Saccharomyces cerevisiae S288C: one gene and its partners. Changing the gene in region 1 together with any one later gene gives a genetic interaction. Each region holds a gene or a part of one and is shown on either strand. Other genes may lie near its edges.

Region 1 (4,659 bases):
CTTCAAGAAAGTTGAAGACACTTCCTACGTTAGAATTTGAGGCTTTCACAAACGTTTTTGATAATGAAGACGGCGATAGCGAAGCGTCATCCCAAGGTAACGTCTACTTGCCTGGGGTAGCATGGTGAAAGCGAAGATGAACAACGAAGTTTTAAAAGTGTGTATATATACATTTATATCAACAGAGTCATCGATTTCCCTTGTTTGAGATGTAAAAAAAAAAAAAAATAGAAAATAGTAAGTCCCTGTTATCAATTTTGCCTAGGAAAAAAACCTGGGTCAAAAATAAATGGTCTCTAGCGGGATCGAACCGCTGATCCCCGCGTTATTAGCACGGTGCCTTAACCAACTGGGCCAAGAGACCATTCTATTGTTGAAGATTGTTTAATTTAGATAAACTTTCATAATGTTGAGAATTGCTTATTGCGATATATAAAGTTGAACCAAAGATCAATTTCTTTTTATGTATTGTAGAGAATTACAATTTGAAAAAGAGCTAAGGGAAATTGCTATATTCTAAAAGAAGTGCACAAGTACATTACCTTGAATTTTTATATTTATTCATGATATATTAATATTAATATATCGATGGTGAAGGACACCACACCTGTATTTCTTTGATTGAAAACAATTTTGTAACATTGGCTGCAAAAGTTTTTGCAATTGATATGAAACTATATGATAATATAGAATGCAAACAAAATTCAATTGCAAGGAGGAGGGAAGATATAGGGCCCCTTTCTCGCTTGACATAGACTAAATAATATACAGTTTTTATTTCTTTATTTTTTTTCTTCTTTTGACATGAACATGTTGATTATTCATTGTCGCTTCCTGCGGCAGCTTTAACTAAATCCAAAAATTTTTCTTTGGAAACTTCAGTGATCAATTCTTTCTTTTCTTCTTTATTCTTAATTTCGCTTAAATTTTCGGATACTTCCTTTTCTGTCTTGACTTGAGTTGCTAAAATGGCGTTAAATAATTTCACGGCACCTTTTTGAGCTATCTTTCTGAGCGCTGTCTCCTTCTCAAGGACTTTTCTAATATTTTCTGACCTGTCTTCTCCGGAAGCAATTGGAATAATATCCGTCTTTCTGGCTTTACCTAATAACTTTTTTTTTTCTGCCAACAATGCTTTTTTGGCCTTGTATTCTAGCTTTTCTGACTCACTTTGCTTCAGCACCTTTTTGTTTCTAGCCATGATGGGGTCCTTCCTGTCGTATGCTTTCAGATGTGATGATAAAATAGCATTTACTGCAGCAGAAAATCCAGTAGAACCATCATCATGTTTGCTGTTTTTCGATTTTTTCTTTCTTGGGAAGTCGTCGTCCTCTTCTTCTTCATCATCATCTTCTTCAGCATCACTTTGTTCGTTATCTATAATTTTAGATGATTCATCGCTAGAGCTATTCTGCTCGTCTTCTTCGGCTTCATCACCTTCCATTATTGTATCTTTTTCCGGCTCATTACTTAACTCTTGGTTGCCACTATTCCTTTTTTCACGCCCAAATTCTGCATTCTTTCTGGTTCTTTTCTTATCCTTAGTGTCTACTCTGTGCTTGGAGCCCATGATCAATTATGTACTGATTTTCCTTCGGCTTCTCTATCGCTTTATTCATAGCATCTGTTTATTACCTTTCCTTATATCTTATGGGCATCGAATCCTAGATTTTTTTCTTTCAAAATTTTCCAATAAGAGGGTAATGGAGATACACCAAAATGAATCTCAAACAAAATCAAAACAAACACTGTTTACAATTTGATGCGCCTCGAATCAAAATATGATGATGAGTATTACAGCTAAAAAAATTATCGAATATTATATAAGCATTAAAGCTATCAATTTTTCCGCTCTTTGTGTTTCTTATTATTCTATTTGAATATACCAGAACAACTATCCGGAGTCTTTGTTTAAAAAAGGTAGATTTTGAAATAAAGGACTTAGAGAAATTCTGGCAACTATTAAACTATGGAATCACTTCCACGTACTCCCACAAAAGGCAGATCTACGCAGCATCTCTCGACACCATCGCCGAAGAATGATATTTTAGCTATGAATGGCCACAAAAGAAGAAATACAACAACTCCACCGCCTAAGCACACTCTTCTGAAGCCGCAACGTACGGATATTCATAGACACTCATTAGCTAGTCAGAGTCGCATATCCATGTCACCTAATCGCGAGCTTTTAAAGAATTATAAAGGTACAGCAAATTTGATTTATGGAAACCAGAAAAGCAACTCCGGTGTAACTTCCTTTTATAAAGAAAATGTTAATGAACTCAATAGAACACAAGCAATCTTATTTGAGAAAAAGGCAACACTAGATTTACTCAAAGATGAACTAACAGAAACGAAAGAGAAAATCAATGCCGTTAATCTCAAATTTGAAACCCTTCGTGAAGAAAAGATAAAAATTGAACAGCAACTGAATTTGAAAAACAATGAACTTATCTCGATTAAAGAAGAATTTTTGTCAAAGAAGCAGTTCATGAATGAAGGACATGAAATACATTTAAAGCAGCTAGCGGCATCTAATAAAAAAGAGCTGAAACAAATGGAAAATGAATACAAAACAAAAATTGAGAAATTGAAATTTATGAAGATTAAACAGTTTGAAAATGAAAGAGCGTCGCTTTTAGATAAAATAGAAGAGGTAAGAAATAAAATCACCATGAACCCTTCCACTTTACAGGAAATGTTGAACGATGTTGAACAAAAGCATATGCTTGAAAAAGAAGAATGGCTTACAGAGTACCAATCGCAGTGGAAAAAGGATATAGAGCTGAATAATAAACATATGCAAGAAATCGAAAGCATAAAAAAGGAAATCGAAAATACATTAAAACCTGAGTTGGCAGAAAAAAAGAAGCTCTTAACAGAAAAGCGTAACGCGTATGAAGCTATCAAAGTAAAAGTTAAAGAAAAGGAAGAGGAAACTACAAGGCTGAGAGATGAGGTGGCATTAAAACAGAAAACTAATTTAGAAACTTTGGAAAAGATCAAAGAACTTGAGGAATATATAAAAGACACTGAACTGGGTATGAAGGAGTTGAATGAAATTCTGATTAAAGAGGAAACGGTTAGACGCACATTGCATAATGAGTTACAAGAGTTAAGAGGAAATATACGAGTTTATTGTAGGATTCGTCCAGCTCTAAAAAATTTGGAAAATTCTGATACTAGCCTTATTAATGTTAATGAATTTGATGACAATAGTGGTGTTCAATCTATGGAAGTGACGAAAATACAAAACACAGCGCAAGTGCATGAATTCAAATTTGATAAAATATTTGATCAACAGGATACAAATGTGGATGTTTTTAAAGAAGTTGGTCAGTTAGTGCAAAGTTCATTAGATGGATATAATGTTTGTATCTTCGCATACGGACAAACAGGATCTGGGAAAACTTTCACGATGTTAAATCCAGGTGATGGTATCATTCCGTCCACAATATCTCATATATTTAACTGGATCAATAAATTAAAGACAAAAGGATGGGATTATAAAGTTAACTGCGAATTCATTGAGATCTACAACGAGAACATCGTAGACTTATTGAGAAGTGATAATAATAATAAAGAAGACACAAGCATTGGCTTAAAGCACGAAATACGTCATGATCAGGAAACTAAGACTACCACGATAACGAATGTTACGAGTTGCAAGCTTGAGTCGGAAGAAATGGTGGAAATAATCCTGAAAAAAGCAAATAAATTAAGATCCACCGCTAGCACAGCATCAAATGAGCATTCCTCCCGTTCACACAGTATTTTCATAATTCATTTGTCTGGATCAAATGCAAAAACTGGAGCACACTCGTATGGCACACTAAATCTTGTTGATTTGGCCGGTTCCGAAAGAATAAATGTCTCTCAAGTTGTAGGGGATAGATTAAGAGAAACACAAAATATAAATAAATCTTTAAGTTGCTTAGGTGACGTTATTCATGCTTTAGGTCAGCCTGATAGTACCAAAAGACATATACCGTTCAGGAACTCAAAACTGACATACCTACTGCAATATTCACTCACTGGGGATTCGAAAACATTAATGTTTGTAAACATTTCACCAAGCTCCTCTCATATTAATGAGACTCTCAATTCGTTAAGATTTGCGTCTAAAGTGAATTCTACCAGATTGGTTAGTAGAAAATGAGGTCAAGGCCTTTTCTGGTCTTTTTCACTCCTTTGACAAATGACAGAGACTGTCCATACATTCATCACATGTAACTATATTATATATGAAACTCATTTTAATGCGCACAGATAAAAAGCAAAGTAAGTAATGAATATTTGTTATGTAAAAATGACCTCATACATGCTAGTATTTACACGAATTTAATTGCTTAAATTTCAATCATCCTTACCCTTTGGTTTACCCTCTGGAGGCAGAAACTTTTGCATCCTCCTTATTGCCCAATTTTCGCCAATGACTTTAACATCTGGGTCCGATTTACCTTCCGTGGTGTTGAACCGCTTCCACCATGAGGGGGATTTGAACCTAGGGTCTTCGCGTGGTAATTTGCGAACTTCATTTCTAATTTCAGCAACATGGGCTCTCAGTTCAGCGGCTAATCTGCTTCTTAAATCTTGCGCCTCTTTACCATATTTCAATTCGTCAGAGAGGTCGTTAGGATTTTTGGGATCATAGTATTT
Region 2 (6,134 bases), on another chromosome or scaffold:
GATGCAAAGTTCTGTGATAAGCATGAAGACTAAACGCAGTTAGGATGTACAAAAGTCAACCACTTGTAATATATAGAAATTAATTGCATATATAAGAAGTATAATAATATTATCGCATTTCGAAAGGAAGAATAAAACTATGGATCTTGTAGTCAAACTAATGGCTTAGATTCATTGGGCCAGTCTTCATTTTGTAATTCCGGAACAATAGTCAAGACTTTCCCGGTCAATATCACATTCTTTGCATTTTCAACGACCAGTTCTTCCATTTTCTTTCTTGTTTCTACACTATGTGTGCCCATATGAGGCAGTCCTAAGACTTGGGACATCGATAATAACTCTTTGGATATTTTTGGCTCATATTCGAAAACGTCCAAACCAGCACTTCTAATCTTTCCAGAACGCAAAGCATCAGTCATGGCTTGTTCGTCTATCACGGCACCACGCGCTGTGTTAACAATAACTACACCATCTTTCATTTTTTCAATAGTCTCTGCATTGATTAGATGGTGAGTATTGTGGTTCAGTGGGACGTTTACAGATACTATATCAGAACGCTTCAAAAACTCCTCGAATCCTACATATTCACAACCATGCTCTTCTTCGGAAGGAAGCTGGTGTCTGTTATGATATATGAAATTCTCGAACCCAAACGGCTTCAATCTCTCTAAAATACAACGACCAATCCTACCTAGACCCAGTATACCAACTGTTTTCCCTTCAGGGTCGTATCCAAAGGGAGAACCACATGCGGGTCCTGCCTCCGGCCAGTTTCCCTCGATCAACCTTCTGTTACCAATACCGAAGTTTCTTAGGGCACCCAATAGCAAAAATACATGCGTATCAGCGGTAGCATTGCTAACTAAATCAGGAACATTGGCAACCTGGATGTGCCTTTTCTTGAATGGCTCAACATCAATTTGGTCATAACCAGCACCAGTATGACATACAGCCACTACGGAGGAGGGCAAAGCAAGAGCAAGCTCTTCATCAAATCTACCGGTGTTTTTCACACTCCTTGCTGTTCTAGTAATGACTTGTACTTGGGAGAGCTTATTTTGTGGGTCTTTTACCTCCCGCAAAAACTGTTCTCTAGTGGTGGATTCAGGGATGGTAATTACATCCGCAATCTTTTCCAATTCCCCCCAGGCTTGGTCACCAAAGGCATCCTTTCCTAATTTCAAAACAATTGGTTTCTTACTCATATTCTCTTCTCCTCTTCTTGCTCGTTTATGTATTGTTAATACTTCGGTATTGTAGAGCAATAATCATGTAGAAGGATTTCCCTAACGTAACAACAAGGCCAATAGAATTTACTTTTTATATGCTCGAGATTAGTGAAAAATGGGATAAGATTGCCTTGTTATCCCCGCCCCCTGCCAAGACTTTTGCAGATTTTAAGTCCGCTCTCGGTCCTACGTAATAAATGCCTGGAGAAGCTCTAGAGCTAATTGCGTCGTCCTTCAGGAATTCTGAAGACCACAGCAACGCAATCAGATGGCGGAACCACATTATGAAGCCAAGTGAGGTGTATACAGAGTTATACGTACTTTTCATCCATCCCCGCTCGGTTTCACCGTTCATAACGCTGGTTTTCACTGCCACTTCTCATATCAAGTCAGCGAAATAACCAGTAGTTGTCCTGTATATAGGCATCCCTACCGTTTGCTTTAGGAAGCTGTTCTGTGTTACTATCACAACTGGGTAGTGCCCTGTATGAATTGCTTCCCTGTGGAAATGGCCCTTCCATTATGCTACTTTGACGCGTTTACTGCCGCATTACGCGTTTACGATGAAAAATTAAAATGAGTATTAAGGATTTTTCAAATGAGATATGGTTCGTAAGTCGCCTCACATATGATAATACCATCTAGCTTGTGGGGTTTAGTGTATCTTTAATATAGGAGGGCGCACACTATGTCTGCTGATTTGCAACAAGGCACTACAAATGCGGCTGATTTCTCTCTGACGGTACTTAGAGCAAGAATTGCTTTATTGGCAACTGCCATCGGTGGGCCGGATTATACTTCCCAGATAGACCCACCCCCTTATAAGCTTGGCGATGACTGTTTGGCGTGCTTAAAAGATCTGAAAAGATGGTTTAAACTAGTGGATGACCAGCAGAAAAGATGGGATGTGGCAATGGCAGTAGCTGAATATCGCATCTTGACGGATGATCTGTTACCTATTCTGATAGATTGGGAAAACAAATGTTCTCTTGCAGCAAAGCTTGCAAAGAACAACCCAGACCATGAAGAGTTTAGAAACAAAGCTTATTACGATAAAATTGCGCTAAATTGTCTACAACTATTGGTCCTTATGACTTGGCCTTTAATTGTAACTGAACAGTCTTCATCAAATCAAATTACTCTCTATGGTGAGCTAAAGAAGCATCAATTGGTATACAAGAAAACGATTCTGTCTATGGAAAGTGGTAAAGTGTTAAGAGCTGCCATTAGATTGGCTCTGGATGTTATCAAAATCGACCGATTATCAAGAACTCCTAGGGACAATATGGTTCTCAAATTGGTTTTGAATTTTTTCAGAAATGTCATTGCTATAGAACCCGGTGAATTTACTATCAATACTAAGAAAAGCATGCCTAAGAAAGGTATCACATCTATCGATACTTTGCCACCAAACGTCTCTATGGATGACATCTCTTTAAATACGGTTATTTCCTCATTCCATAAAAACAAGGTATTCGGTTTCCTCTTAACGCTGACCAGCTCCTTATCAAAAGAGTTTGACCAGGACTTTATCAATATCCCACTGTTGGAGATTATGTTCTACTTCACTAAAGATGTTAACCAAGAACTGCTATTCCCTCGACAGTTCGAAACCGGGACACATTCAAAGGTGGTAAATAAAAATGAGAGCTCCTCTGCTAATAACATTGTTACAAGTGCAGGTTTTGAACTATCGAAGTTATTACAAAAGGAACACCAAATGAGAAAAAACGTTATCAAGCATACATCTGCAAGACACTCCAGATTTGGTGGTCTTTTATCTATACAAACACCAGATAAAACTAGGTTAACTGTTTCTGGTAGCCAAGCTCTCGTAGATGAAAAAATAGCGCTCCAAAAACTAGATGACAGCAAAAAATGGAATAAAAGAATAATTAAAAAGCATCAATCTGTCGCAGCTGAGGGCTTACCGAATAGTCTCTTGAATTCACAAACCGGTAAAGCTATTTTTTTCACCGAATCAAATGGTAAACATTTCAAAGAATTCATCAACAACTTTATAGATTCCGGCTTTAACATCTTGTTGCATAGTGTGACGAACTACTTCACAACTGAGCAGGATAGGATGGTAACTTTGGAGCAAGTCGAATATTTACTTTTCTTTGCATGGTTTGTTAAATACCAGTTGTTGAGGTCCAAAATCGACAATTCCGCAGATATAAAGCAAGTTTCAGAAGCCTTGAAAGAGGTGACTTTCATTCTAGTGTCTTCTCTTTTAAGAAGCGCATATGACCTGAAAAATTGGACAGTGACACATGCTGGTATGATTGCATTTAATGAACTGTTGAACCTCGTTTCCCGTACAAAGGCCGCTCAAGAAGAGGATTCGACCGATATAGAATTCATTGTAAGTAGGCTTTTCAGTGACGAGAGAATACAATTACTGTCAAATCTGCCGAAGATTGGTTCCAAATACTCCCTCCAATTCATGAAAAGTTGCATTGAACTAACACACTCGGTATTGAAAGTATTAGAGCAATACTCTGACGATAAAACATTAGTTATTGAAGGCAAATCAAGACGGCAAAAAAAGTTTAATATTTCAGAAGGTGATATTACTAAATTGATAGAAGAAGAAAATGTAGATAGAGATGAAGCGCTTGATATTCTAACCTCTTCTTTAAGAAGTATAGAAGTCAATTTTCAAAAGGTGCAAGCCAACTATATGACAGAACCGGTAATAGAAACGTACATTAATTTCCTTGAAAGATTTCGTGAGCTTGAGGACGATTCCATTAAAAAAGTATTTTCCTTTTTCCATAGAGTATTTGTTCAGGCAAAAGAACAGGCATTGTTATTTAGATTTGATTTGATAATATTATTAAGAGAAATGCTTTCACCTGACGGATTAGATAGAATGTCTCGTTCAAGGAAATATGTGAGTCAATTTTCAGACTACTTCCTCGCCAGGTTGAAGAAAAGGTTAAAGAAATCACCTGCTTGGTTTGTTGGATTACTTTTCCCGCCATTACACAATAGTGAAGTAGGATTTTACCAAAGATATGGTGAATATAATGTACTTAATAATGAATCAATGTATGCCGCTCCTGCATCACAGTTCAAACCAATTCCCGATGAAGAAGCCTTACCACCTTCGATTTTGTTGGATATGAAATATGGTGTTTTAGTTTCCACATTACTTGATGATGGAAAAACTGAACTATTGGACCAACTGCTCAAGCATATAACCCACACACTAGATATTTTTAAGTCGTGGCTAACCGTAAATGTTAATGCTGGGAAAGAAACAGTTAATCCACCCAATGAATATTTCACATTGACAGGTGTACTCAACAACGACCCTATTTTTAAAGATAAGGACTACAGGGCTTTATTGTTGCTGATAGGATACTCCATTCCACGTAAAATCAATGAACCTTGTTTTTTACCGGGGACTGTTGAAGTTTCTGACCTGACTGTTTCTTGTGAACTAGTGAAAAAATACTTATCAACACCATTTGAAACTCCAAACGGACTGCCTTCTTCTTCCTATCTTCTACGAGTTCGTTCAGAAAAGGATAGTTTTTCTCACAATGAACAAGATGGATGGGAAGGAGACGATGATTATGATTACAACGATCCCTACATTGTTCCAGATGATCAAATTTTATCGAAAAGCGACGCAGCATACTTCAAGGATTTAGATAACAATGCATCAGATAAACTTAAAGGTACCAAATTCAGTAAAGGGATTGCGAGATCCAAAAAAAAAGATAAGAGGAAGCGTAGGAAAGGAGAAGCCAAGACTAATTTGCCAATGTTTGGCGACCAGGATGATGAACGACCTCAGACCGTTAGAGAACGCCATGGCGTATTCAGTAAAGAGTTTATTAGTGATTCAGAAGATGACGAGGATTTGATGAACCCTATATTTTTTGAAAACGAAACATATATGAGATGGTTACTAGATAAAAACAATGGTCAGTTGACCGAGGATAGATATATCCAGTTTGCCAAATTTGCCGCGGAAAGGATGAATAATGGGGGTGTTGTGACAGGAGATTATACGAGCTTGTTTGGTGGATCCATACCAAGTATTGAAAGCATAAGAGCTACAGAAAGTAGTTCCTTTGCGCCAGATAAAAGCCTCATTTCTTTAGCAAGCCACGTGGCATCTGAAATGTCTATTTTCGATGTAAATAATAACAATAATAATCAACTCTCTGATGACGATGTCAACTCGGAATCAAGAAATAGTTTGGGCTCATCACAGCCATCAAATTCGCAAAATATGTTCCAATCTGAGGTGTATAGCAGAAAAGAATCTACAAAGCGTTCTTTGGAAGCGAGTGCAGCCGATGAAAGCGATGAAGATGAAGAGGCCATCCGCCTTTTTGGCAAAAAGTCTAGAGTTGTTTTGAGCCAAGGTGATAGTGATGATTGAGAATGAATATGTAGTAATTAATCCCTTTAATACGTGTAATTTTAGAACCACTTCTTTACTCTGTTTTTAAGTTCAAAGTATTGACATAATATTAAAACAATACATGCGATTCATTCTTTATCATTACCTATATTTTTCTAAGTTGTTGAACATCTTAAGGAACTCAAATGTCCATTAGGACACATAAAATTAAATATTATATAATTTATTGCTGTTCCTGGGCATCATCGAAATTGTCATCATTGCTTGAAGACGCATGCAATCCGCTACTAGGACTATTTTCCCCTATTTGTTCTTGGGTTTTGTCGCCTATCGTCAAGTTTGTCTTTAAAGTTTTTTCATTATTATCCTTCTTAGAGTTCTCGTCTCCAGAAGATGCCCTCTTCGAGGATATATTTTGTTTTACATTAGACTCAGCGTTTTCAAATTCAGTCTGATCAATTGCGCTTTCTTCTCTAAATTGCTCTTCTAAATCATCCAAATCTTGGAGTAACTTCTTC
Region 3 (3,934 bases), on another chromosome or scaffold:
ATTTTACAACAGGTATTGATGGTGACAAGGGGAAAATTGTAGATATGGTTAGTTACGGTATTTGGGAACCTGAAGTCATCAAGCAGCAAAGTGTCAAAACCGCTATTGAAAGTGCATGTTTACTATTAAGGGTTGATGATATTGTTAGTGGTGTAAGAAAACAAGAATAATAGCCTCGAGGTTAAACTTCATTACTGCCGTTTAATATTTGGTGTTTCTTCACATTTTTTTGTTTTTTTATACTATTGTAATGTATTTATATAGAATTAAAGTCCTCACTATAATTTTGTCATCCCTACAGTATGTCATAAGCGTTAATCGGACAAACGTTCATTTTAAAATTGGCCTTTTTATATTTATATTACTCCTCATAGGATTTAATATAGAAGTATCATTCGTTAAATAATCATTATATCATCTGTGCTTTAAATAAAAAAGTCGGCCGTCGATGTGTTTACGATTGGCCAGTATACTTACTCATTCATGGGATTAGTTTTATTTCAACGCTGTGGTGGGTACGATATGAAAGACGAACTCGACTTGTCATCATCTGAAATGATCTCAGAATTTTTGCTTTGAGAAAAAGAATTTGATTCTCTCATTTCTAAAATTGGGGTTAACTGCCGCGGCTTGACAGCTGAGATGATATCAGACGTCTCAGTGCTTCGTCCCTTTGGCGTCATAGGGCAGTTTATGTACTCTTCGCCAGAAAACATTCTTCCCTGGTTTGAGGGGGTCAACGACTTGGAGACTAAGGCTTTTCTACTTATTTTTGGTCTTTTCGATTGTGCTTCAGCTTCTTTTTGATTTGCGCTTTCTTCTTGCCCTAAATTTGCTTCTCTTGGATGTTTCCTATTTGTCCTAACCCTTTTATAAACGTTTCTAGAAATTGCCAAGACTTCTTCTAGCGAAAATTCTAGTCTACCACCTTTAGATTCCTCATCTTCACAATAAATCAGTTTAAAATTACAGTCAATTTTTTCTGGTTTCTGGTCCTTTGTATTAATCATTTGATAAACAGGGTCACTTCTACCTATAGAATCTCTAAAGATCGGTAGTTTTTCATCATATGGTCTCTTTTTTTGCGATAACATCTCATGTTGTTTAAGCTCACCCAAATTGGTATTTGCTTCTAGCAATGATATTCGAAGGTTGTTTTCTTTGTTCCTTTCTGCCTTTAAGTCAAAATTTTCCCAGCCATCTCTATAAACACCTCTATTCGGAGTTTCGAATAGTTCTACATCAGACTCTTCTCCATCTACAAATACGTTGTTTTTTGTTAAATTGACGTCACTTGATGTGCCATTTTGATTTGCAAGCTCTAGTCTATTGACAAATTCAGATCTGGTTTTCCCAAGTACTGTAGACTCTAATGAGTCCATCGATATTTCATTTCCTAGCTGAATATTGTTCTCCCCCAGTTCTCTCAGGAGATGGTTTAACCGGTCTTCTAAAACCTTATTAGGCCTAGCCTTATTTTTGATTCCTAGCTGTAGAATTTTCACGGCATATTGAAATTTTTCTTTCTGAATTAATAGATTCGTAAATTCTTCATAAAATGACGCTAACTCGGAACCAATTCCATTTCTTAACATATACATGAAAATGTCTCTGCTTTCCATGAATGAATTTCTGGTAAAAAGTTCTATGTACCAAAACCATATTTTAAGAAACCTAACATCATTGCGATATCTCTCCAAATCCTTTAAGTGAGATAAACATCGCTCCAAAAGGGTGAGCATTCCAGATTGTTTGGAATTACCGCCTTGTGGATAGGCGTTGTTCAGCCACTTTATGTATTCAAGATACAAAGTAATTGGGTCGCTTAATGCAGGGAGCTCATCTATCAGTCTTTGTTCGAAGCTTGATTTAACTTGGTTTATTTCCACCAGTGGTTGATGTATCGCTTTCGAGAGTGCCGCTGCTGATCTGCCTTCCTTCAGGGGAAGAATGTTTTCTTTTTGAGTTTCGATTTCTTCAAAGTTAATAACATTTTGTGATGGTGACGATGGCATGTAAGAGATACGTTTCTTTGCGTACGCTTTCATTCTATCAAGTTAACGTCTTTTATTGTATTTTCGCATGATTTTGTTTACTATTTTTGAACCAGTGTGCGCCTGGTGAAGGTGTGCATTTCAGGCAAGAGGGTAGTTCTCATATATAAAAAAATGGCGCTAAAGAAATTATTATATCTAATATGATTATTACTTAATTATACAGTAAAAAAAACACGCTGTGTATTCATTTAGCAACTAGGTTGCAGAAAAAGGAAAATAAAATAGAGAGAATTAGAAACACAGAAACCATGCCGGGCCCGATCTTATCCTCATAATCTACTGCTCTCTTTAGTCTAATGTTTACCACTCTCTTGGCATAAACCATAACAGTACGTATCAACACAGCCAAGGAAGTAATAAAGAACCCAATGGAGCCAATCATGGCTGTTGGTGAACCATATGTTAATAAAGTAGTGGAGACACCGCCCAACAATATCGAGATGGACAACCAAGACAGGTAGGTTCTTTCAGTGGCAAAGTAAACTTTTGGTTCCACACGAACTGGCACACATATCGTCTTTCCCGGTGGGGCACGAATTTGAGTATCAAAAGTAGTACCTTTTGGGATTTTAGATATTTGATCACCGTTAAAATAGTGGTCAAAAAATGCCACGATTTCATAGTATTTCTTGGAGATAGGATTTTCGGCATTCCTGATCTTTCTTTGATAATAAGCAGCATTAGCACTCTCAACAACATGATTAGTGTTGGAGGTGGGGGCCGAAGTAGCCCCGTAACCAACAGATTCTTCTATATCAAGAGAATTACCGGGTGCGTTTGTCATGGCAGCAACCAAAGCAGCGTCATCCTCATCATCCTCATCGAAGTCGTTATCTTCGTTATCGGATCTACCGGGTCTTGTTATTTCAATATTTGTTGGTAGTGGAGGTTTCCTGATATCAACATCCATTTGAGGTAACCAAAATGGGATTGAATCCACTTTATCATTTAGTAAGGTAGCCACACCATGAATAAACTTGGAGAATTTTGGGACTGGCTCAACTAAGTGAGACCCGACTAATTCACGTACCCACTCTGGAGGTTCTTGACCTAGTTGAGTTTGCAATTTAACTTCCAGGACTGCATATGGGAAACGGCAAATATCCTTGTCATCTAGCTGCTTGAATGGCCAATCGACACCAATATCAGTTCTCCTCCAATTCTTATGAGTTCTATCCACACCATCAAAGTTGTCTTCTCTCACCATAGTTAACTCTGTATCAAGGGAGATACGAACTCTTGCATCACCAGGTAATTGAAAAGCAGTTCTATTGTAGAATGATCTCACTACAGGTCTCAACTTTTTCTTTAACATGACGTATTGAATTTCGGATGCTAACGCCTCCAAGTTTTCAATTTCGTTCATTGGCTTCTTGCCTTCTTTACGCATCTTGGCAAATACTTGATCAACAGTATATTTACCCTTTAAGAAGTCATTAACATGACGTTCCTTTAGCGCAAATCTTGCCTTGACAGATTTCTCACCAGTCCAATCCTCTCTATGGGTCTTTCTTTCTACAAAGATCGTGTCTGTAGACATACCCCCATACCATCTCAATCTGTGGGCTTCTGCACCTTCATCTTTTCTTAATCTGCCATAATAAAGGTCTAGATTTTCATTATCAAAATAGATCGAAGTAATAGCGGAATCTTCTCTTTCGAATTCCTTATTAGTGTTGAAGACTAACACTGGTAAATGCTTCAAGATGATCAGCTTCAATTCTGTAATGTTATCAGGGTGAACCCAATACTTTGTTGTCTGTCTAACGAAATTTTGTTGCTTCCCACCAGCAGATGAGTCTCCCTTGATTGGGCGACCTGAAGTTCTGGCAATATCATATAGTTGGGAAATTTTAACGACTAGTTCGTCATAGTTT

Evidence for each region. A genetic interaction does not mean that the proteins touch.
Region 2: mutations in KAR3 (region 1) and TOF1 together harm fitness more than expected from each alone (negative genetic interaction), as found in Saccharomyces cerevisiae (6 studies listed by BioGRID, with this or other methods).
Region 3: mutations in KAR3 (region 1) and MAD3 are lethal when combined (synthetic lethality), as found in Saccharomyces cerevisiae (6 studies listed by BioGRID, with this or other methods).

Annotation. Positions count from the first base shown.
Region 1 is NC_001148.4:815,234-819,892, reverse strand, and holds KAR3 (Kar3p), read left to right. Parts: upstream 1-1,969; coding exon 1,970-4,159; downstream 4,160-4,659. Other genes in the region: ribosome biosynthesis protein NOC4, read left to right, coding at 1-128; rRNA-processing protein RRP15, read right to left, coding at 818-1,570; TAZ1 (lysophosphatidylcholine acyltransferase), read right to left, coding at 4,357-4,659. UniProt on the Saccharomyces cerevisiae protein: Minus end-directed microtubule (MT) motor involved in spindle midzone assembly, poleward transport of newly captured kinetochores along the lateral side of MTs, karyogamy (nuclear fusion) during mating, and with an essential function in meiosis I.
Region 2 is NC_001146.8:120,966-127,099, forward strand, and holds TOF1 (Tof1p), read left to right. Parts: upstream 1-1,917; coding exon 1,918-5,634; downstream 5,635-6,134. Other genes in the region: BOR1 (Bor1p), read left to right, coding at 1-33; GOR1 (glyoxylate reductase), read right to left, coding at 153-1,205; guanine nucleotide exchange factor SEC2, read right to left, coding at 5,840-6,134. UniProt on the Saccharomyces cerevisiae protein: Forms a fork protection complex (FPC) with CSM3 and which is required for chromosome segregation during meiosis and DNA damage repair. FPC coordinates leading and lagging strand synthesis and moves with the replication fork.
Region 3 is NC_001142.9:408,993-412,926, forward strand, and holds MAD3 (Mad3p), read right to left. Parts: upstream 2,049-3,934; coding exon 501-2,048; downstream 1-500. Other genes in the region: chaperonin-containing T-complex subunit CCT3, read left to right, coding at 1-170; VTC4 (Vtc4p), read right to left, coding at 2,242-3,934.